Arabidopsis thaliana: one gene and its partners. The protein of the gene in region 3 purifies or fractionates together with the protein of the main gene of each other region. This does not show direct contact. Each region holds a gene or a part of one and is shown on either strand. Other genes may lie near its edges.

Region 1 (5,004 bases), on a different chromosome or scaffold from region 3:
CTTTCAAGTTTAGTTTTATTGTTTTTTGTTTTAATCTTCTGATTAGGCTCTAGTAGTTTTCTCTAGATTACTTTGATTTGGACAGGAATTAGGAGCCAATGTATATGTATCATTGTAATTAGGAACCAAGACACATTATTGTTTGCCAAAGCTTTCACTTGAATTAGCCAAATAGTTTCAAGAAACAAAATGTAGCAAAAGGAATGATGTTTAAGAGACGAAGATAATATAAAATGGGTTTGATTAGTAGTAACTGCACTATCAATTGATAAAACTCTTGTATAAGAAGATTCTGTGTACTTCTGTAAAAGTAAAAACATGAAGCCTCGTGGATATCATGGGATAACACAATAATAATAACAGGCTACAATAGAAGTTGGATTACATGAACACAGGAGGTAGTATCACAACAGTTAATAATATACACCTCAAAGATTCAACGAGATTGGTCAAGATCATCACAACAGTGAAAAATATACACAACTAAGTTTCAACAAGAATGGTGAAGATCGCTTGCTCAACACACGTAACCGAACAGCGTTACGTTCTTAACACATGATGAAAACTATGCAACAACGCTTCCAGAATGATTTTAATGGTTTCAGCTGGAATTAATGCAGCAATACAAGAAGTGTAAAGCATTGGGAGGACAAAGTTTGATTTGCTTTGTTAGCTTGAAGAATTTGTCTAAATTGAATATTAGTCGAATCAAATAGACATCTTGTGCGAAATGTACGACACTAAAGCTCAGTGGTTACTAACTTTATGGAAGATTAGTGAAATTCTTGAGTGAAGAACGTAAAGCTCTGTGATTTTCAACCAAACAGAAATTTGTACGCTTGAACATGAATTTCATATTCTTCAGTTCGAGGGGATGGTTCCAATATGATAAGAACCAAGGGAACAAAACAAATAAATGCCTTGAGAGTTTTTAAATAAAACTAAAGCTTGGGACAGGCTTAGCTTCTCTTGACTGCAAAACTTGATTGTTTTGGGAAAAAGGAGAAGCAGCTTAATACACCTCTTCAACTACTGGCAAGAAAAGAGAGAAACAAAGTTAGCTAGAATCATTTTTAAAGTTTAAAGGATGCAATCTTAGAATAAAGATGATGACTCTTACATCCATCATCCTCGTTATTATAATCGTCGTCATCATCATCAAAGTCTTGATTCTACAAAAAAACATTCAAGAACAAAGTTGTTAAGTAACTTGAGAAGAAGAAGAAGAATCACACAAGGTATCAATTCAAACATTAATCTGAAAAATAAGCAAAAACCTGATCATAATCTCCGTTATCAGATTCTTCTCCTTCTGATTCCACAACTTCTTCATCATCTTCCCCTTCTTCTTTCTCTTCCTTGCCTTCAACCTAACCAAACATAATCCAAAACACATTACTGTCAAGTGCTCTTAAAAAACCATTGAACCGTTAAAAGTTTCACTAGTTACCTTAAACTTAGCTTCAAGCTTCTCAAACACATCCAATTTCTGCAAATCTATGAAACAAAAACACAGAACTTAAACTTCTCGTTACATTGTTGAAAACAAAAACTAATAATAAAGACAATGTACCAGCTTCTTGACTCCATTTAGCTCTCTTCACAGGCCGTTGTTCTCTTCGAGTATCTGAAATCGCATAATCCAAATGATAATCAGCAAGATGAAACTAAACACATCTAAAGAGTATTGAGATGGTGGAAACAAAAACAAACCTCCAAGAAGTTCTTTAGGGAAGTTATCAGGTCTAAGAACAAGAAAATCAAAGAAAGATCCATTCTTATTAGACTTCATCTTCGGCTTCAACGAATCTGAGTACCTCTCAATGTTCAAACTCTCTTTCTCTGATGATTGTAAAAAAGAAAAGAAAAAGCTTTTAGCTTTAAGCAGAGATTACAAAGACAAAAGTATAAAGTTGATACCTTTCTTAGAAACACCACCATCGCCTAAGTGATAAGGAGAATTCCTCCAAAACTTATTGAAAGTAAAGTAGCTTTGAACTAATTGCGAGTCTGTTGAGATTGATTTTGGATCTGGTAACGTAATTTCAGGGAAAATCACAAAAGGCTCAGGCTTGCCATAATCGCCGCCATAGCCTTTTGGTTTTCCTCGGGCTCCTTTCCAAGACATGGACACAAATTCACCTTCGAAAACTGTGGCGGCGAGAGGAGAAGAATAAGAAATCTGGGATAAGAGGAAAAAGAAACGAACCGTCTTGAAATCAGTTCGATTACGATGGAGTTATTCAGAGACGAATCGAGGATTTAGAAGTGAACATCGAAATTCGAATAGCTAAATTAGGGTTCAGGGGAAGTTTCATACATGGATCTGCAGGACCAAGAAGGAAGATTACAGTCTTTAGAGCAGTGGCGGATTTCGTAAATATTAACCTTTAGATGGGTATTTCTTGAAAAAAAAAACAGATTAGTAAGCGCAAATTTTCTCGATGGGCCTTAGAGCAAGTCCACTAAGGGTTTTTAGTAGATTTTTATGGTGGGTTTTTAACCTGAAATGGGCCCAGTTGAACAAAAAACACAACAATTCAGTTAGAAACGTTCCTAAAATTGGGTTTTTCGCGACCCATACGTGGCATCTTTTTATTGGGTTAACTTATTGACAAAACCAAAAAAAAAAGCTTCTCGCGTTTATTCTTTTCTTCTTCTCTCTTTTCCTCTTGTGTCGCCGACGGAGACACAAAATCGATTGAAAATTTCGACGCCACAAAATCGATTGGAAGTCTTAGCTAGGAATCGAGAATGCTATAGCTAAAAGTTGATTGATCTTCATATTCGAAATTTACACAGCAGGAGCTTCCAGCTTGCAAACCAATTCTTACGCCTGGTTGGGTAAGCTTCTCTTCGTATTACTCTTGTTTGAGTCTCCCAAGTTTTGTCTTTGAATCGCTATCAAATTTATCTTATTCCTTATCTCTTTTTCTGCAGGTGATTTCAACTCTTGTTTTGTGGCCCTTGTCACGGCTTCGAATCTACACAATGATGCCTGGTGCTTAAACTTTTTATTGCATACTCTGGTTTAATCACTCACTATACCAATATATATGCTAATAATTGTGGTTCTAATCACTAATCAATGAAATGCTGTTTCTAAAGTTGCGTACTTGGTTTAGATCCTATTGTGGTTCAGTTTGGGAGAGAACTTGTTGAAATAAAATCAAAAGGTTATCTTTCACAAGATCTAACAAGTTCAGTTGGTCTTGAAAGGAAATGCCGTGAGATTGTTGTAACAGATGAAAGGGAGAGAAGATCGTGGGCATTGGATCTGAGGTTCTAAGAATCTAATTACAAAGTGAAAAAGACAGAATAGAGACCTCTGTAGGAGTCGGTCGATCGAAAGCCAACAGCCTCTGCAAAAGACGGAGTGCTAATGGATCTGCTTTAGAGAATTTTTGCGAGAAGGTGACATGATTTTTCTTCCTCATTTCAGTCAAGTATTTTCTAGCTTTATCATTACGAACCTGCATCAGAGAAATAAATGTTTAGCTATACAGTTCAATATATATACGTACTCCAGAAATTAATGTGAAGAATAAAAACGGATCATACTCCAGAAATTGCATCTGATTTTGGTGTGCCAAGAAGATCAGTAATCAACTCCAACTGATGGACAACACTTTTTCCCGGAAACAATGGCTTCCATGTTAGTACCTCTGCAAAGATGCAGCCAATGCTCCAAACGTCGATAGCTGGAGTGTACTGCAGAATAATATTAACTATCAACGATGTAACATAAGGAGACAAGAACAACAAAGAAAACTGTATGGAGCTTCACCAAGCCAAGTTGATTATATACATCTGTTGAAACCGAGTTGATCATGGTAATATTCATCTCCCTCCTGTTTCTTACTTTTTGATATTGAACTCATTCGAAAACTCTTCTAATTTTCTGATATTGTTGATTATACAGCCTCACCCGGATGTCAAGCCAATGGCATATGCAAACAATGATTAAAGATGTTCTCTCTTCCTTTAAGCTTATCCAGCAACAGTTATTCTCATGTAGATTCAGTTTTTCCCTTTTTCAATTTTTTTTTGTTTTAGAAACCCACTTAAGGATTCCATCAATGGTCAATAAAATTTTCAAAAACTCTAAAAAATCTCTAAACTACTAAACTATCCAAATTTATTAATAAAAAATACATAGAAACTTTACTTAGAAACTAATCATTGGATTTGCTATTACTTACTAATCTGTTTATTTTACTTAAAAACAGATTATTTTATCTTCAAATTAGCTTACGAATCTGTTTTTTTCTCTCCTAGAATTAACAACTGCGTTTATGTTGTGCGTTATGGTTTTATAAATTGTTAGGAATTATGAGTTGAAAATTTAATCTTTGTTTAACCTCTTATGAGTAGTAGTAGTAATGGTTTAATTTATTACTACTACTCGAAGACCCAACCGAATCCGATCCAAAAAACACGAAAAACCGAACCGGACCTGACCCAAAAAAACCAATCCGAATCTAAACCCGAAATTTTAAAATATTCCAACGCATCCTACACTTTTAAACCCGAAAACCGGAAATCCGAACCCAAAAAACCCGATCCGAACTTGAAGTCTTAAAATACCCAGACGGGTTTTAGATTTCTAAATCCGTAAAAACCCGAACCCAAAAAATCCAATCCGAATACCCAAACGCCCATGCCTAGAATTTATAAAACTATTACAGTTAAATCTAAATTTATCTTTTACTAATCGTGTGTGATCGGTTTTATACCAAATTAGAAAGGAAGTTAAGATTTAAAGTTACACTAGTGGCTAGAAATTAACCATGTGTTTGATTGCATGTGTGTGATAGATTTCCCTAGGCATGTAATCTAAAGTCTAAACTTCCTCCTCCAATTCCGACTTCGGACCTCCTTTTCTTACCACTTTCAAAATTTTCCAGATCTTGTTAGGAGCTTTATATTAGTATCTTGTTACAAGCTTTCTTTAATATTATCATCAAAAAGGCATAATTACAATGCCTTGACACCATCCATGGA
Region 2 (5,128 bases), on a different chromosome or scaffold from region 3:
AAGAAGAGGATTCATGTGTGACAGAGAGACAGCTGTTGCAAACGAAGCCAAAAGAGCGTGCAAGATACGAGAGCGACGCGTCTAAGTAAACGCGTTTGCAACAAAACTGCTGTTCTCTTCACGTTACTACTACTTCTACTACATTCCATTTTCAATTCGACAACACATAGTTATAAGAATTTTTCATCTTTTGTCTCTATTATCTAATGAACAAACTCACAAGGTTTCTTTTCAAAAGTAACTACTTAAATCTTTAAAATAGCCTCCACAGGATACGAAACTACATTAAAATATAACTCTATAATCAATAACTATTTGTCTTTATCAAAGATACGTAAGAGGAAAAGATGCCTGGGATTTTGGTGATTTATTATTTTATTTTTGTGTATAATTTGTAAGAATTTGGATGCACTAACGACTTCTAATTAAGATTCATTGAATATATAACGCTCATAGTAACTCAGGAATTTCACATTAAAACAAAATAAGAGAATGAGTTTGGTACCTGCCATGGGTTCACAAATTTCTTGCAAGACTGCAGAAAAAAAAAGAAACAAAGAAACAAAAGAAGAAGCAAAAAAATGTTGAATAAACCAAAAAGATGATGTTTATATAACAAACCAAAATATATATTGAAATGTGTAAGAAAATATAAGTACATGTAATTTGAGATTTAAGAAAGGGTGGAAAGCATGAGGAGCTTTAAAGGCAATGAGAGGAGCCTTGCCAAATTGGGGTTTTTAAAAAAGGCAGTTAGTTAGCTTAGCTTACATGTTTCAAGTGCTTTTTTCTCCAAAGCAAGAATCATGTGTCCTAATTCCTTTAATTTGCTTAAAACTGAATTGATTTTTATTCTTAAGAAATAAGAGTTAGGTTTGTATTGGTATATTTGTCGTTCATCGAGACGCCGCATAAAAAATGATACAATATATAAAAATTGATTTTCAAAAAGTTTACAAGACTCTTCTTAAACATACAAAATTTTGACATATATTTTAAACAAAAAACTAGATTTTAACCCGCGGTATACCGCGGGACGATTTATTTTTTAAAGGTAATATATATTAAAACTTGCAAATTGTATTATAATAATATATATATATATATATTTTACAGTTTACAATTGTTATTAAGAAAGCTATACCACGAGTCCATGAGACAATTGTTAAAAAACTGAAGTTTTAACTCTTATTAAAACATCATATTAATAATATTTTAAATTTTTATAAATATTGATTCAAATACATCCACCATATAACTCTATTCCAAAATAAAACCCGTTCTGTAATTTCTTTACTCGTCCCGTGATTTTTTTTTGAAAGTAGTAATTTTTAAAATATTAAGAATTATTTATTATATATAAAAGTTTGCAAATTATGACCCAATACTCAGTAGAAAATTGTCTTAAATCTATTTTTGACCCGTTATAGTATTTTTCATGTCTTGAACAGTTTATATTCGTTTTTAAAAATTCAAATTATGGCATATGCGAAAAAAATCTAATTATTTTTTATAACGATGATATTATTTTTTCGCAAAAATATAATCATATAAAGATAAGAGGTGAACTATAATAATTAATAAAAAATTAATATGATAATTTAGATATCAAATCTAATTTGTTGATTTTAATTGGTTACTTTTTAAAAAAATTAATAATGTATTTCGTTTTTTAATTAAATTTAATTAATTAAATTAGTATTTAACTTTTTAATATTTAAAGAGATGAATTAATTTACTCTTTAAATTTTATTTCTAATGGCATACCTATGTAATTACTTACAAAAAATAAGATTACATTTAAAATGTACTTCCCAAATAATATAGTAGGATTATGATTATTTCACCTTAGTTATTTATGAAGTTACTTCTTAGAAAGATTTCAAACTATTTATGTTACATGTAAGTTTTTTTTTAAAATCATATTTTTCGGAAATTATAACATATTTTTTGCAAAGTGTAAATGCAAACGCACAGACAACAAGTCAAGCGTTTGGCATAGTTTAAAAATAACTAAGCAAACGCTAAACACACAACAATTCAAGCATTGGGACATGTATTTGGGCTTATAACCCATCAAGCTGAAGAGGGCCGTGGATGCAATAACACATAAATGTTCTTTATGGGATAAACAGGCCCAGCTTAAGTTTATTTTTTGGTCTCTAGGGTTTTACTTTTGACAATAACGACGTCGTTCTACCGATTCATTCACCGCCACCGTCTGGAGCAAATCGTGGTCTCAATCTCCGTCTGAATCATACCTCGAAGGAGCTCCTCTAATTAGGGATGTTAATATGGGCTTATAATTTAGGGCCGGCCCGAGTCTGTTAAAAGATATAAGCCCTAACCCTAATAAAAGATTTTAGGTTAAGATAGGGCTATACTTAAATTGTTACGGGCTAAAATAGGGTTGGCCCTATTACACTTTTTTAATTATTCTTTATTCCATTTTTTTTATCTTTCTTTCTTCTTCTTTCTCCCAAACGCTCTTCTTCTTCGATCTCTTTTTTTTTTTTTTTATTACTTCTCTGAAGCCATAAGAGTTGAAGAATTCAAAGGATTGATCTGACTATAAACAGAAACTTCCAGAGCTTGGTGAAGGAGCAGCCACCCTAACTTTTCAATCCCTAAAGGTGAAGTTTTTGTTCTTCTTTTTCTTTGATTCTACTCTTTTTTTTGTCACCATAGCGAAATAGCGATCTGGGTTGGCGTTTTTATCGACGGATTTTGGTGGGTTCGTGTTAGATTTTGGTGGGTTTGAGTTGGTGTTAGATTTTGGTGGGTTTGGGTTCGTATTAGATTTTACTTTTACAGATTCATGTATGTGTTTGATCTTAATTAGTAGCTTTGGTAATACTCAAATCCAACTAGTAATTGATCTTAATTACGTGACGTTGATATTTTGTGTGTTGTGAGTCAATCAGCGAGCTACTTCTAGTATTTGAACTAATCCTTTCCGTCAAAGAAGAGAAGGTACTTATTTTCTTCCCTTAAATTGGTCATTATTTTTGATCGAATCCAAGGGTTTCACTTTAAGCTTTGATTCATATTAAGGTGCTTAGTACTGAACGTGACCTAAATATTTTCGATTTAGAAACGTTATTGATGTTGATGTTCCCATTGCATCATGATTTGTGGGAACGAGAATCATCTGTTCCTTGATGTTGATGTTCCCATTGAATTTTTCAGGAGCAAAAACTCTGATTTTGGAGCATCGTTAGTGTTGTTCTCTTCCCATATTGTTAAAACGACTTCGTTTGGTTGAAGAAAAAGCTTCCTGTGGTTGAAGTCTCTCTGCTCAACCTAAGAGATGAAAATGTATCATCCATCTTCCATTGTGTTTTTGTTCGATTCCTTCTCTATTTTTGTAGTTAAAATTTGGTGTGGTTGTTGCAGAGTCAAGGCAAATGCAGGAGCACTGACCAATTTCGAAGTGCTTGACTTTCTTAACTCGAGAGGTGCATCAAAAGATACTACAAGAGTTATAGCTCCAATTGCTAGATCAGAATACAAGGTTCTCTTGCCTGCAATATCTCTCTTCTGATTTGGTCTTAAGAGTGCACTTTTGTTGCTAATTGGAATGATCTTTATAGGTCTATGATTATTTGGTGGAGACTGCTGCTTCCACTCAAACACGAGAGAGCATTAACAAATTCGCAGACAAGTGTAAAGATTTCAAACTCGCTAAAGCTGAGATTCTCAATATCATCAATCTCCGGCCTTCTTCTATAGTCGAACTGTTACCGGTTTGTTTGTTGTTTCTAGCTTATACACTACCATTTCTATCACTGCATTTAATTTCTCTTCTTCATGGTTTATAACATTTGTTGATTGTGACTCTCTTGTAGATCATAGAGAACCTGGATGATCGAGAAATCGACACTGATGGGATATTAGAGCTTGTGAAGGATTTGTTACCTCCTCTGCCTACAACTGCAAGTCCTAAAGATGATGATGAAGAAGAAACAGAGAATGGTGAACAGTCGTGACGTGCTAATGAAGTTGTTGAGTTTATGTTTTGATTTTGTAACCATCCTCTTAAACGCTTATTAACTAGATTGAGTTTGTTATCTTTTAAGTTAAGAAGATAATCGATCGAACAATTTACGTCCATTCATTAACAAAGAAAAAAAAAACAGGTCCATACTAAATGATTTAAACTTTAAAATATAGAGGTACGACCCACAAAAGTGTAGAGGAATATGTTCTATAATTATACTAAAGGAGAATAATACAACTTATTTAATATACTTTTCTTGTCGAATATTATTTCAAATTTCGTTGGATAAGCATAAGGTTTGACATCTTGATATTGAGCAAAAATAGGTATCTCAACCTTTATGAAAGCATATGTAATCCATTCCATTGTTTCACTGAGCTATAATGATAAATATATGGTAGAAATATTCAAATTCCGCATACATATGGTTGAGTTGAAGCATAATCAGAATAACATTCAAGAAGAAATACATAGACAGAATTTTGAATATAATACTCTTGTAGTGTTTGTGATCTCAATTAGACATGGTTTATGTTCATTAGTGTGCTGGTTCAGTCGTGATCCCGGTAAAGGAAGATCATTTTCTTTGATCAGTTGGTTTGGAAGTGATTTATTTCGGTTTGGGTAAAACCAAGTTGTTAGGAAGTTTTAAATTTTTGTTTTCTGATATGCTTCTTTTAGTATCCAATTTTCCTGTTTGTACAAATTTACATATAATCCTTAAGAGTATGTAACTTAAACTTACATCAACTCCATTTTACATATACTTCATTTTTTCCAAATATCACAATATTATAGGACTAGACTGAAAATCTCATGATGTTGTGAATCATAACTTATGATGATGTAATGACAAGTAATGAGTGATGCAATAGAACAAAGATACGCGGGACAGATATACTTTTGTTAACTTTAAAAAGTGGGTCTCACTAAATAGAGATATATAGGTGCCAAAGAAATTGTCTTTGTCACGCTTAGCTTATCTTGTGTAATTTATTCTTTCTCACACCATTTTCGATGCCCTTTTATTCCTCTTTCCTTTCTTCTTTTTATAAGTTCTATTTTAAAAGAAAAAACCATGTGAACCAACTATGAAGTATTCTCCCTAGATCCTTACAATCTTCAGTT
Region 3 (6,337 bases):
TAATGTTCTTGACGGATGAAGCTAGATTGAGCTGCGTAAGCGGTACACCCTTTGGACGGCTCGTAGTGCCAGAAGTGTGGAGGAAGAGAGCACCGTCGTCCGGGTGATTAACGAGTTCCGTCGCTGAGTCAACGACGGAATCTGAATCCGCAACGGATAGTACAAGGTCCGAGCCAGCGTCAAGCAGCGTAGCGGTGACGTGAGAGATTTTCAGCTTTGAAGCTGCTTCTTGAGCCGGTGCGTTTCCTTCTTTAGAGGTTAACAATAGCTTTGAATCTGAATCGGAGAGGTAAAACTCAAATTCCTCCGCCGTGTACGCTGCGTTCAACGGCGCCGCCGTGGCTCTAGCTCTTATCACCGCTAAAAACATTATAACAAACTGAAAACAAAAAAAAAAAATCAAAACCAAATTCATCCAAAAAAATCATCTGAATCCGGAAATCAAAATTTCTCAATTAAGAAGCGATTTACAGATATTCATAAATTCTGCTTCCCATGTGATTCTTCAGCACGCAAAACAAAACCAGAAACGAAGCTTTTAAATCGAAATATATGAAAACCTCTTAAAATACCTCGACGGTGTTAGGGAAGGTGAGAGCAACGACATCGCCGGGTTTGATTCCAGCGTCGGAGACAAGGCGTGAAGCGGCGCGTTCGATTAGATCGTGAAGACGCGCGTGAGTGAGATTGAATTTTCCAGAAACGGAGAGAGCTCGGCGATCGGGGAATTTTTTGGCGACGTTTTCCAATAATCCTGAGAGAGTATCGCTATCCATGGTTACGTCGGAGAGATAAACACGAGAGTAACGATGATGAGGAAGGAGAGAATGTGAAAGCAGAGAAGAGAGCAAATGCGATATTTATAAATTTATATTCAATTACTACAGTATCTGTGGAAGCAAAAAATGGCTAAAAGATGATGCCACGTGTTATCATCGTAGCGGATTTTCTATTGATCGTGTGGTCATAATGTTTTCATTTTTAATTATTTTGTTAACGGTGGGAGTCGCTGATATATATCCTTACGATTAGACCGACGTTTCGGTTTTTGAAGAGGTGGTTTTTTTAATTTCGATTCCGGTACAAACACTGAACCGAAACGGCTAGTTAATTAACTTTTGAAAATATTTTTTTTCGGCAAGCATGCGATAGTAATTTACGGTTTATGAATTATTTCATAGGAATTTGAAATAGTTTGTGTATGTATTATCAAACAAAAGAATAGTTTCATTAAAAAAATAGCCTATGAGTGTTTAATCACTTTTAGGGCCTTTGCACATGTGTCTTTGACTAGGATTATCACGTTTCGAAGATGCTTGACGTTGTTTATACTTTATATTATAAATAGAAGATAACGTCCTTATTTTGATTGTTAATAAATTAAATTGACCAAGGTAAAAATGTAAAATTAAAATAAGAAATGGTAAAAATGACTTTGAATGATAAGAATAAATATATTATTTATAGAAAAAAAGTAGAAGACTAAATATAATGAGACATATATCTTTTTGAAGTAATCAATTTTGTTTTGTCTATACATACAAATTATTATATTATTTTATTTGGTTTGATACATGCACACTATCTAACTAAACAATAGTGGATTTGGATAATTATTCAACAATGAAACTAATTTAAACCACTAAACATGCGTAGCTTAGAAGAGAGTCAGAGTAGAATTTACTAATCAAAGATTTAGTTTACCTTGTTATTTGTTAAAGATTAAAATTATGTATATGATTATGAATAGAAATACAAAAATCTCGTATAGATGAAAACGACAGTGTTTTAAAATATAAGTCATATTCATGAAGCTGAAAAAGTCATTTTCCATTCTCCTAACTAAGTAAAAACATGGTCTTCATGTAAGCCGTCACATACAAATACAATAGAAGAATTTGGTTTGTGTTTGTTCTTCTTAAGTAGAGCATTGTCATCTGGCCCAATCATTGAAAATTCTCAAGTACATTTCGTTCCATCACTAATTTTTTTTCTTGGGTCAAACCATACATTCAATTTATTAGGGCCTGATAGGCCCAAACTTCTCTAGGCCAACAATTAATAACCTACAATTAGGGATGTTAAAATGGGCTAAATATTTAAGGCCGGCCCGAGTCCTTATAAAAAACAAAAGCCCTAGCCCTGGGTTGGTGTTTTCTTATACTTATATTGGTGGGTTCATGTTAGATTATCGAAATTTTGGATTCGAACGTGTGGATCGCTGGAAAAATTAAACTTTAGGGTCGCTAGATTACGATTGCTTCGCTTTTTAGTAGTAGTAGGCTACAATCGATTGGCAAACATCTCTATATCGGCCATAACTCCGTCAAGCTCTGCAGAGGCTGCTTCATCAGTATTGAGAGACTTCCTGGTGATTGATTCTCATGTCTATGTCTGAGTTTGGCATTGTCTACGCCATCCATATCATCACCGTCCAATTCGGCTCCGTCGTCTCGGTAAATTGAGAAACCCTTCTGAGACTTGTGTTGAATTTATAATCTCTGTATAACGAATTTGGTTTTGGTTGCAGAAAGTTTGTGAATGTCTTCTACGTAAAGGACCTCTTTCCTCACGAGACATCTCTCGTTTAGCTGAATCAGATATCAACCATAACAAAGTTAAAGATATTCTCTATCTCTTGATTCAGCACAATTGTGTTCAAGCTTTCTCCATTGAACCTCCTGGTTAGTCTCTATATTGTTTGATTAGTAGCAACACACAGAAATAGAGAACTCAATGAAAGTAATTTTGTATGTTTTTTTTTTTTACTTTGTAGATGGTTCTGAGAGCAAAGCTATTGTACAGTATATTGTGTTGTTTAACAACATTCTGCATCGTGTGAGGTATAACAAGTTTTCGAGGATTGTAAACGAAGAACTTGACTCCAAGGTTTAATCGTGCTTCTTCTTCTCTCTGTTCAGTGTTTTGATTAGTTGGTTTATGCTTCAAGACTCTAATGCTAATCTTATACTTTTGTTTGATTTATATGTTTAGTGCGGTGCAGTTCTTGATGGTTTACTTAGTAACGGTAGGCTTACCTTGGGACAGTTTATTGAAAGAGATAGAGGTGAGTCGTGATATCATATGTACCTCTTATGTTATGTTACCACAGTTTACACTCGTCATCGTAGGCATTGGCTTTTGGCCTTTGTGTATCTCGTTTTGATTACAGTAATGCTTCGAGCGGAATGGATTCCATGCTGTTATATATGTTTTCTTCATACATGATCAGATTCAGGAAATACGATAGGTTCTGAAGCAATCAGAGATTCTCTTCAGAAATTGGTTGCTGCCCGTTTTGTTGAGCGCATTCCTTCTCCCGAACCTGTTCTTGGAAACAAAGAAAAAGAGCCGGCAAAGAGAAGAGGCGCTAAAGCTGCCAAGGTAATTGATAATTTCTTTCTGGTGTTTGGTATACCTATACATGGTCTGATATATCAGACCTACAAATTGCAGAGACATGACTCTCAGTTTTGATATTATTTCTATTCTGTTCGATATTAATAAATCTCTTGGAACGGTGTAGATTCTTAAAGAACCAGAAACCTTGGAGGAACAAGTTGTTGAAGCAGCAACTCCAGTTGACGCAATAAGGTTTCCACTTATATTCGAAGAAGATTCCAATTCATCTTTAGCAGATGACAATAGCAACATCACTGAGGGGAAGGTATCAACATTCGTACCATAACCAATCTTGTAATCATACATTTTTCAATGATGTAGCTCTGAATACCTTTGTTGATGTTTCTCATTGAACCGAATATTTTAGCGTAAACAACGTGATGTGGACACATCAGATTCGAGCAGTGGAGTAATTTGGCGTCCTAATTTTGAGGAGTTCATCCACCGCCTTAGACATAAGGTTAGTTATCCGTGTTTCTCTTTTGAGGTTGTTTGATGAGGAAAAAAGCTCATTGGCATTTCAAATTTTGCTTTCCGAATGTCTTACTGTTCCAATCTATTAACCACTTGTTTCTTTGTTTAAGGCGTGTGTGGAGATAGTGAAAGAGCGCCGGGATGAAGGATGTGCCATTGTCTTGAGGGCAATGTTAGAAGTAGGAAGATCGCAAGAGAAGAAGGTGAAAACAGACAATTCGGGTAATATTTGAGTTTCTCACTCATTTTCATTCAATATCTTAACATAATCATAATATGCTGAAGTTAAAATTGTATTTGGTGTGAATTATTTTGCACTCTCCACCAAAAGTCCACCTATGAAGTTCTGTTAACTGAATTTGCTATAATCTTTGAAACAGCTCCAATGTCAGTTGGTTCCATTTATGAAGAAGTTATTAAGACAGAAGCAGGTCGCACTATGTTACAAGAGCGAGTTGAAGCATGCCTTGACCAATTGAGTGCTACGTCTTCTTATCTACCAGCATTTGTGAACGAAGTGAATGATTCATACATAGTTGGTATAGTAACTCCATTCAAAATCTAGTCAAATGATTCTTGTATTCAAAATAATATTATTTTGTTATTTGGTTTTGCAGATTATAAATCCATTATCAGCGTAGCACAGAAAGATGAGGTGCGTTTCATATTTTTCTTTTCTTGATATATTTCTGAAACTAAAAACGGTATCTTTGAGATGTTTCCAGATAGAGGCAGTAGTGATGAGAAGATATGGGAAAGAAGCTTTCAGAATGTTCAGATACTTATCACAGGAAGGGCGTTTTGTTGAGACCGATAAGGTTAATGACTGTTCTTTATGATTCATATAGAAACATCTTAAGTCATAATGATTTCTTAACTTCATCATTTTTTTCTCTCTGTAAGATTGCTGATGCCGCGCTGACTGAAAAGAAAGATACACCGCAATTCCTTTTAAAGATGTGGAAAGACGGATACTTACATATGCAGGTATTCACAGTTTGGAAACCAAATCATTATCAAAAGTAAAACGAATTGGTTGTTACGAGATTCATTGTTGTTATCTTCTGTTCATTTTTGTAGAAATTGGCGGTCACAGCTCCGGGTATGTATACACCGTTTCTGTTGTGGAAGGTAAACAAGTTGATTGTGACAACTCAAATGTTGGATGAGATGTACCATGCGTCCCTTAACTTGAGTCTTAGGTTGGCCCATGAGTTAGAAGCCGAAAAAGAGGTTAGTCACACTGCAAATCGATTAACCCAAATGTGTTTCAAGATGGTCCAGATACTAAAAAAACTGTTATTGCTTTTGTGGCAGTTGCTGTTGTTGCCATTAGATAAACTGGAAGGACCATTAAAGGAGAGACTGAAAAAGGTCAAAGCCAAGAGGCTGTTACTCTCTTCCACTATGTTTAAACTTGATGATGCCATTATGCTTTTTCATGACTTTTAAACTCATACATTCAAAAACTAATTTCTTTTGGTCGATTTAGTTCACATTGTCTTCTAGCATTTTTTTTTTTTTTTTTGACATAATGAGAAGTTGTAACTTTGAAGGTAATTGATACTGTTTCGAGAGAAATGTTGTTTATTATATACTTCAGATTAAGTTTTCAAACTCTTAATCTCTATCAGAAAACCTTCTTTTCCTTTACTATGGTCTATGGCTGATGAGCTTTGGGATGAATTGCAAAATCGGGTTTTGGTGATACAGAGTCTAATGAAGCCTAATAGTCGTCCAAGTCTGAGTTTGAAAAAAAAAAAAAAAAAAAAAAAAAAAAAAAAAAGAGTCGTTTAAGTCTGATTGCCTGACCTCTCAATCCTTCAGTGCAACAGCTTCAGACAGTTCATGGAAAAGTGTTCTCTTCTATCTGTCCAAAGGAGAGATCGATGGGTTTTCAATAATCCGGAAGATATGAAATAATATTGATGTAAACATCATAGACATGTTGAGAACTCTCAATCTCAGAATTCTGACATCTCTTTCCCAACCTCCCCTGCCTGATACTCCTCCACTCAACTATGAGCAAATAGCAGTTGGCTACTCCCCTTCAATATGTTCAATCTTCTATACAAAGGTTTCTTTACTCAGGTTGCTGCACCAATCCCACAAGTCAACAAGGAAGAATTACTCCAAACCATGAACATGAAGTTAAATCTACCCCTAGTAAGTTTGAAATTGCAGAGTTATAAAGGAAGCAACCAGAAGCGTCAATTGTGACCATAAGGAATCATGATTACAAAAGACAGCGTAAGGTTGGAAGATGATAACGGGTTGAACTGCTCAAATGCAGACGAACTGCTATGTCTATTTTGCAGGTTAAAGAGATGCTTTTCGATTGTGTCAATTTAGGCTTAAATTTTTAGACTATAGAGAAAAAAACATACGAAATAAGAGGAAACTATAGCAAGTAGAGATGTGAGATACGGTCTTTTCCATAAATCAAGAGAAGCAAGGTAGC
Region 4 (5,823 bases), on a different chromosome or scaffold from region 3:
TCTTACCTCTGCCTCTACGTGCTGTCAACTCCTACAGATCTTCAAGTACCCCAACCGTTATCTAACAGATTAAATATAATATACCCCTAACTATATTATATATCACAATTGTTCAAACCAGTGTATATAGACTAGACGATTCCTTGAACCATATAATTCCAGCTTTACTATAAGAGTCTTAAGGACAGGGGCAAGTGAGTCGAGAAACGAAACCGAATATAAGTCTTGTATGATATAGTCATATAGTTAACCGTCGTCATATATTAAAGAAGAAAATGGCAACCACCGGTCGGAGACTCCGTCCTCCATCGCCCAATAATAACCGGAGCCGGACTATAAGCTCTTCAATCTCTCTCCCAGTGTCCTTAAACGCCTCGTTATCGTCTTCTACTTCTTCATCTTCTTCCTCTTCGCCTTCCAATTCAAGCAAACGAGTGATGATAACCAGATCACAGTCCACAACAAGATCCTCCAGACCCATCGGATCATCCGACTCTAAATCCGGCGAGAACATAATCCCGGCGAGAAACAGCGCATCAAGATCTCAAGAGATAAACAACGGTAGAAGCAGAGAGTCGTTTGCTCGGTACTTGGAGCAACGTACGCGTGGTAGTCCTCGTAGTAACGCTTCATCGAGAGGGGTAAAGCCGGGAGCCAGCTCACCATCGGCGTGGGCGTTGTCTCCTGGAAGACTTTCGACTATGAAGACGCCTCTGTCCAGCTCAGCTCCGACGACTTCAATGTGCATGACGCCGCCTGAGTCACCCGTAAGCAAGGCCAAGATAAGAAGCGGTGGCGGTGGAGCGGTGGCAGGAGTTTTGAAGTACTTCATGGCGCAGAAGAAAGTATCTCCGGTACAAGAGGAGGATTATCACCGGTTTAGGATTTTTCAAAACAGATTACTTCAATGGAGGTTTGTTAACGCAAGAACTGAAGCCACTATGGCAAACCTTAAGATCAACGTTGAGGTACAAAAACTATATGAAAAATATTTAAATTTGTATCTTATAAATATCTATTAATTTGTTTCTGTGAATGGTTTCAGGATCAGTTGTTTTGGGTTTGGCTTAGGATATACAAAATGAGGAACTACGTTGTAGAAAATTTGATTGAAATTCAAAGGCTCCGTCAAGATATCAAAGTACGTGAAGTTCTCAGCCTCCAAATGCCTTTACTTAATGAGTGGTCAAAAATAGACGCAAAAAACTCCGAAGCGTTGAGCAAGCTAACTCGAAAACTCCATGCTTTGTCTGTCCGATTACCCCTCGTACATGGTGCCACGGTTAGAATTTCTCTCTTTGGGAAACCAATTTGTTTATAAACATTTTGTGTATTTGTCAAGAAAGCAGAAACTAATAATTTGGAAGTTACAGATAGATATGGTGTCGATACATGAAGAAATGGTCATAGCTATAGAAGTCATGGACGAGATCGAAGACGTCATCATCAAGTTTCTCCCACGAGTAAGTCCACTTTATCTATACAGATCATTTTCCTAACTTTTTTTGTATAGATACATGTAAAAGAAATTAATTTAAGAATGTCTTGGGTGATTAAATATCAGCAGGTTGAAATAATCCTCTATGAGCTGACAGAATTGATCGGCATGTTCAATCAAGAATTGTTATATTTTGAAGAAATGGACGAGAGCCTTTTATCCATTCCTCTCTTCACGGTAATTCATTATCTCCTAATTTCATTATATATATGTGACCGGTCCGGTAGTTTTATCTATAACTTGAATGGTTTGTTTTTTATTGGTTCAATTTGGATGTGGAAGCTCCATAGGCTAAAATGGTGAGATAATTTTCTTTTAACAGGCAAAGGAGAGTAGCTTGAGGGTCCATATTCTCCAAAAGACTGAAGAACAGAGATAATGTTTCTCTAATAACTCAAACGTTAGGACATGTAATTAAAATGTTAATCACATTGCACATTTTGCAAACTGGATTGTTGTTGATGCCAGAACTCGCTATCTAATTCAAGACGCAGTCTTCTACTTCTAGATATATACGATTGAAGCCATGTGTTAATGTGTATTACAAATTTCGTTATGCAATTTCTACATACACCTTAATGAAAATATACTTATACAAAAAATTAGACATGAAATCTAAAAATGTCTATCCAATCACATATACACACGTAGAAGTGTTTACTTCTCACAAAGAATGTATAAAAATAATAATTGTAATTTCCAAAGCTATAAATATAAAGATTGACTTAACTTACTAAAAGCGCTATTAAGTCATTTGGTTATCCAGCTATTCAGTACTACAGAGGTCTCGGGTTCGAAGCCATCTTTTTCCTAAATCCCCAATTTTTTTTTTTTCCCTCGTTTCCGAATCTTTTACCGGCGAGACTCTGCCATGGATTCAGGCGAACAAAAGTCTAAGGTAAACCTCTACTGATTCTATCTTCTTGTTCTCCTTCCTAATTTCATCTCAAATCTCGAAAAATTTGCCGCGAAAATTGCGTTTCACTGACCTTACTCCGTTCCATTTCTCGTCAGCGGAGGTTCCAACCAAATCCTCCGAGGCCTTCTCGCCGTCTTCCGATCGCTCCAACCTCAAACACGTAATTCGTTCTTCCTCGATCATTTCTTGTTTATGCTTGTAGAAATCTTTAACTGCTTATACATGTAAAAGCTTTAAATTTTCTCTAAACACAGCGAAGCTGAGGAGGATGAAGAGAATATAAAAGCATCTCGCCAATTTGACAGACGTATCGTCGGCGTATGTAGAGAAGCTTCTCAGTTCTCAAATCTTGCTCTCTAGTTTCTTTCCTTATTTAATTTTGTCGAAAATTCGTTAACAGTTTAATCGTAACTTCCCTAATTTCACTTAAAATAATCAAAATCTTATACATTAGATTATGATATATGCGAAATACCAAAACGGTGTGCTTTCTTCATCGTAGCTAACAAGGAATTTTCTTTTTGGTTCTGACCTTTACTAGTTTTGAATCTGCCTCATCTCCTTTGCTAGCTTTTGTTGATCGCATCAATTTAACTGCCTTGTTAAGTGACTATGAAATGAGTTGGTCCAGGACCCCTAACATGTTCATTGTAGCTTATACTGGCTTAGTTCTTATCTCTATTACTTAATCCAAATGCTCAATGTTGAAAACTAAACTTTTTTGTGTTGTTGTTATTGCTGACTGGCCAGAGGAGACCCAAAACCGAAACGAAAGGTATGTTGAAAGTTATATGTGTATTCGCTCGCATTCTTCATTTTAACGAGTTGTGTTTGATCTAATTTCTGTAAATGAGTTATTAGAAAACCATGTGTGTGGAAGGTGATAGTATTAAATATCGTTCTTGAAAAGCTTTTGAAATCTTGCAGCTTCTTCTCCTGAAGTTGCATTCCAACCAAGCTTGTCACCACTTGCAATAAGGTCCTTTGGTGTTCCTAAAGAAGATGACAAGCCCAATTCTGATGTTAATCCGTCTTCTCCTGCTAGTATTCTTCCTGCTGTTTCGTCTGTTACTGCTGCCCAAGAAGATGGAGAAGAGGTTCATAATTTTGTTACAAGAACTGGGGATGACTACGTTGAACCTTGGGTAACTAGAATCTTCAGATAGAAAAAGATTTTCCCTCCCATTTTCTCTTATGTTGGTTTATGTGACATAAGGTTTGGCTCATTTTATGTGCCAGGATTATAGAAACTCCTACTATCCTACTGTTCTTCCTTTGAGAAAGCCTAACTCTGGTGATATAGGTATGCTTGTTCCCGGCTTTGCAATAGCTTTACGCCGACTATTCAGATGTGTGAATGTGTTTGCTCTGTAAAATGCCTGCATTTTTCCCCTCTTTCTGTAAACTGAATCTTACTTCTTGTGTTGTTAGAACTTCTTGACCAGGAGGAATTTGGGGAGGTGGCTAAAAACCGTGATTATGATGAGAACACCATCAACTCCGCAGAAGAACTCGGTCTGACATCGGTAATAAACTTGTAAAGAAACTGGTATTGAAGACATGTGAACTCTTCACTGAGTTTGACTGATTGTATTTTATGAGCTGCATGCAGGTGCAACACAGCAAAAAACAGATGTTTATCTTTAAGATCCCAGACTGTCTCCCTGTAGTGAAGCAAACGACAGGAGCAACCACCAAGAGATCGGTACGGGAGTATAGTTCAGGGATAAGCAACCCTTTTGAAGGTTTACCAGAGGGATTCATGGGCAAAATGCTGGTTTACAAGAGCGGTGCTGTCAAGTTGAAAGTTGGAGATGCCCTCTTTGATGTAAGTCATTTTCGTCTCATCATTATTATATGTGAACCCACATATCTGAAACTGTGTTGGAATTCACCTCCGCTTGTAGCTTTTCTTCATCTCTTTTAACTCTCGGTCCTATGCATATATGCAGGTCTCGCCAGGTCCAGGTACAAAAATCCCTAATGATGTGGTAGCAATAGACATCAAAGGGAGGAACTGCAGTCGCATTGGTTCTTCAGCGAAGTTTGTTACTGTTACTCCCGATGTTGAGTCTCTTTTGAACCCTGCTTCAGACATGGAAACACAGAAGTGAAGGTTGCTCTGGAAATAGCCGGTCCTGTTCATACAAGGATGTGAAAAAGCGTAGTATTGACCACTTAGATTCTGTATCTACAAACTAATCTTCAACTATGATCGTAAAAAAACTCTTCTTGCCTCCTTGGTGTCTTCTTTTGTAATAAGAGATTCAGTAGTTGTTGGGATAAAAGAAAATGCTCAACATTTTGACACATTCAGAGTGTTCTTATTATCGAAATCTACTAAAATGTCAACAATGGAGTACAGAACCAAAGTAGTATCAAACAAACCACAATATGACCTGAAACAAAAGCTAAACAAGCAGCATGATGAAGACCAAATGTATTGTCGGCTAATTTGAAACGATCAAGACTAGTTGCAGGCTCGGGATACCATCACGACCAGCATAACGATGATGGATAGCAGGACCGAAGTGGTCAGCTTTTCCTCGAGCCAATTGTTGAATTTGGCATCTTTCCCCTTGTTGTTAACACCATCACCATTGTAACAATTGAAGAGCTCGGTCACGACCTTTGTTATTTTCACAAACACTTCCGTGGCCTTAACCATTGTGTTGTCAAATACCCACTTTATGAAATCCGTTGCTGCGTTATTCTCCCTAGGGGTGTCTTCTGAATTTTCCTCATCTGTAATACAAAAACTGAGTCCCCTGAGAAGTCTGTCAAATGAAATGTTTAGATTGATCAATTCATTATCTCTTTATACCTTGACTTATGCCATTGTTGTACAAGTCCCTAATCTCTCGCACCACATCGTTGTTCATCACCGCCTCCCAAACTGCTTTGTCAGACGACAATGATACTACCATTTTCTGCATTAAAATGTGAAAAAGCCCTTTCTTCATGTACCAAAAAGTAAACATGAGCTTAGTGTAATCAAGAAAACAAAAGAAAGTATCACCTGGACAGATGGTTCGGTTCGTAGTAGGTCAAAAGCATTGTAAACCTGATCATAAGCATGAGGCTTTAACGTTCTTGAATGGCATAAATGCATTGATGGCTCCATCCAGTCCGAATCCGACCCGAATGAAGGAACTTGATGAACCATCCCTGTGGCTATAGGGCTCTGGTTTCCACCACCATTTTCCGGATAGCACTCGTATTTGTCTCTAACCAGCTGGGAATATGAACTAGCATCGAAAACCCTTCAAGAAAATAAAACAAAACCGTTACTCCAACACGTAAACAGAACACAAATATTTCGAAATCCATAAGATAACAAAGACCAATTACTATTATGAATAAACCAGCAAACAACTTTTGAAAGTATTTTAAGTACAAAACAACT

The links.
Region 1: the proteins of AT3G49000 (region 3) and AT4G01590 fractionate together in Arabidopsis thaliana (co-fractionation; one large-scale study listed by BioGRID). This does not show direct contact.
Region 2: the proteins of AT3G49000 (region 3) and AT5G62950 fractionate together in Arabidopsis thaliana (co-fractionation; one large-scale study listed by BioGRID). This does not show direct contact.
Region 4: the proteins of AT3G49000 (region 3) and AT4G25180 fractionate together in Arabidopsis thaliana (co-fractionation; one large-scale study listed by BioGRID). This does not show direct contact.

The regions. Positions count from the first base shown.
Region 1 is NC_003075.7:688,065-693,068, forward strand, and holds AT4G01590 (DNA-directed RNA polymerase III subunit), read right to left. Parts: upstream 2,379-5,004; 5' UTR 2,321-2,378; exon of another isoform or gene 2,183-2,320; 5' UTR 2,129-2,182; coding exon 1,921-2,128; intron 1,843-1,920; coding exon 1,714-1,842; intron 1,628-1,713; coding exon 1,574-1,627; intron 1,498-1,573; coding exon 1,451-1,497; intron 1,371-1,450; coding exon 1,278-1,370; intron 1,173-1,277; coding exon 1,121-1,172; intron 1,033-1,120; coding exon 1,013-1,032; 3' UTR 749-1,012; downstream 1-748. Other genes in the region: AT4G01595 (Protein kinase superfamily protein), read right to left, coding at 2,916-2,984, 3,327-3,473, 3,562-3,711, 3,788-3,844.
Region 2 is NC_003076.8:25,261,216-25,266,343, reverse strand, and holds AT5G62950 (RNA polymerase II, Rpb4, core protein), read left to right. Parts: upstream 1-2,290; 5' UTR 2,291-2,973; exon of another isoform or gene 2,974-3,189; 5' UTR 3,190-3,310; coding exon 3,311-3,318; intron 3,319-3,396; coding exon 3,397-3,514; intron 3,515-3,593; coding exon 3,594-3,746; coding exon of another isoform or gene 3,747-3,821; exon of another isoform or gene 3,822-3,848; coding exon 3,849-3,989; 3' UTR 3,990-4,165; downstream 4,166-5,128.
Region 3 is NC_003074.8:18,160,519-18,166,855, forward strand, and holds AT3G49000 (RNA polymerase III subunit RPC82 family protein), read left to right. Parts: upstream 1-2,041; 5' UTR 2,042-2,384; coding exon 2,385-2,456; intron 2,457-2,530; coding exon 2,531-2,684; intron 2,685-2,776; coding exon 2,777-2,889; intron 2,890-2,994; coding exon 2,995-3,067; intron 3,068-3,232; coding exon 3,233-3,384; intron 3,385-3,526; coding exon 3,527-3,667; intron 3,668-3,769; coding exon 3,770-3,862; intron 3,863-3,986; coding exon 3,987-4,098; intron 4,099-4,256; coding exon 4,257-4,415; intron 4,416-4,493; coding exon 4,494-4,531; intron 4,532-4,601; coding exon 4,602-4,694; intron 4,695-4,779; coding exon 4,780-4,863; intron 4,864-4,956; coding exon 4,957-5,109; intron 5,110-5,193; coding exon 5,194-5,328; 3' UTR 5,329-5,468; downstream 5,469-6,337. Other genes in the region: AAE3 (AMP-dependent synthetase and ligase family protein), read right to left, coding at 1-379, 573-776.
Region 4 is NC_003075.7:12,910,454-12,916,276, reverse strand, and holds AT4G25180 (RNA polymerase III RPC4), read left to right. Parts: upstream 1-2,237; 5' UTR 2,238-2,369; coding exon 2,370-2,396; intron 2,397-2,512; coding exon 2,513-2,577; intron 2,578-2,671; coding exon 2,672-2,735; intron 2,736-2,777; exon of another isoform or gene 2,778-2,978; intron 2,979-3,167; coding exon 3,168-3,192; intron 3,193-3,344; coding exon 3,345-3,562; intron 3,563-3,656; coding exon 3,657-3,720; intron 3,721-3,848; coding exon 3,849-3,943; intron 3,944-4,029; coding exon 4,030-4,245; intron 4,246-4,369; coding exon 4,370-4,531; 3' UTR 4,532-4,727; downstream 4,728-5,823. Other genes in the region: QWRF7 (QWRF motif protein (DUF566)), read left to right, coding at 276-968, 1,046-1,282, 1,374-1,463, 1,565-1,675, 1,821-1,877; AT4G25170 (Uncharacterized conserved protein (UCP012943)), read right to left, coding at 4,888-5,162, 5,242-5,347, 5,437-5,680, 5,820-5,823.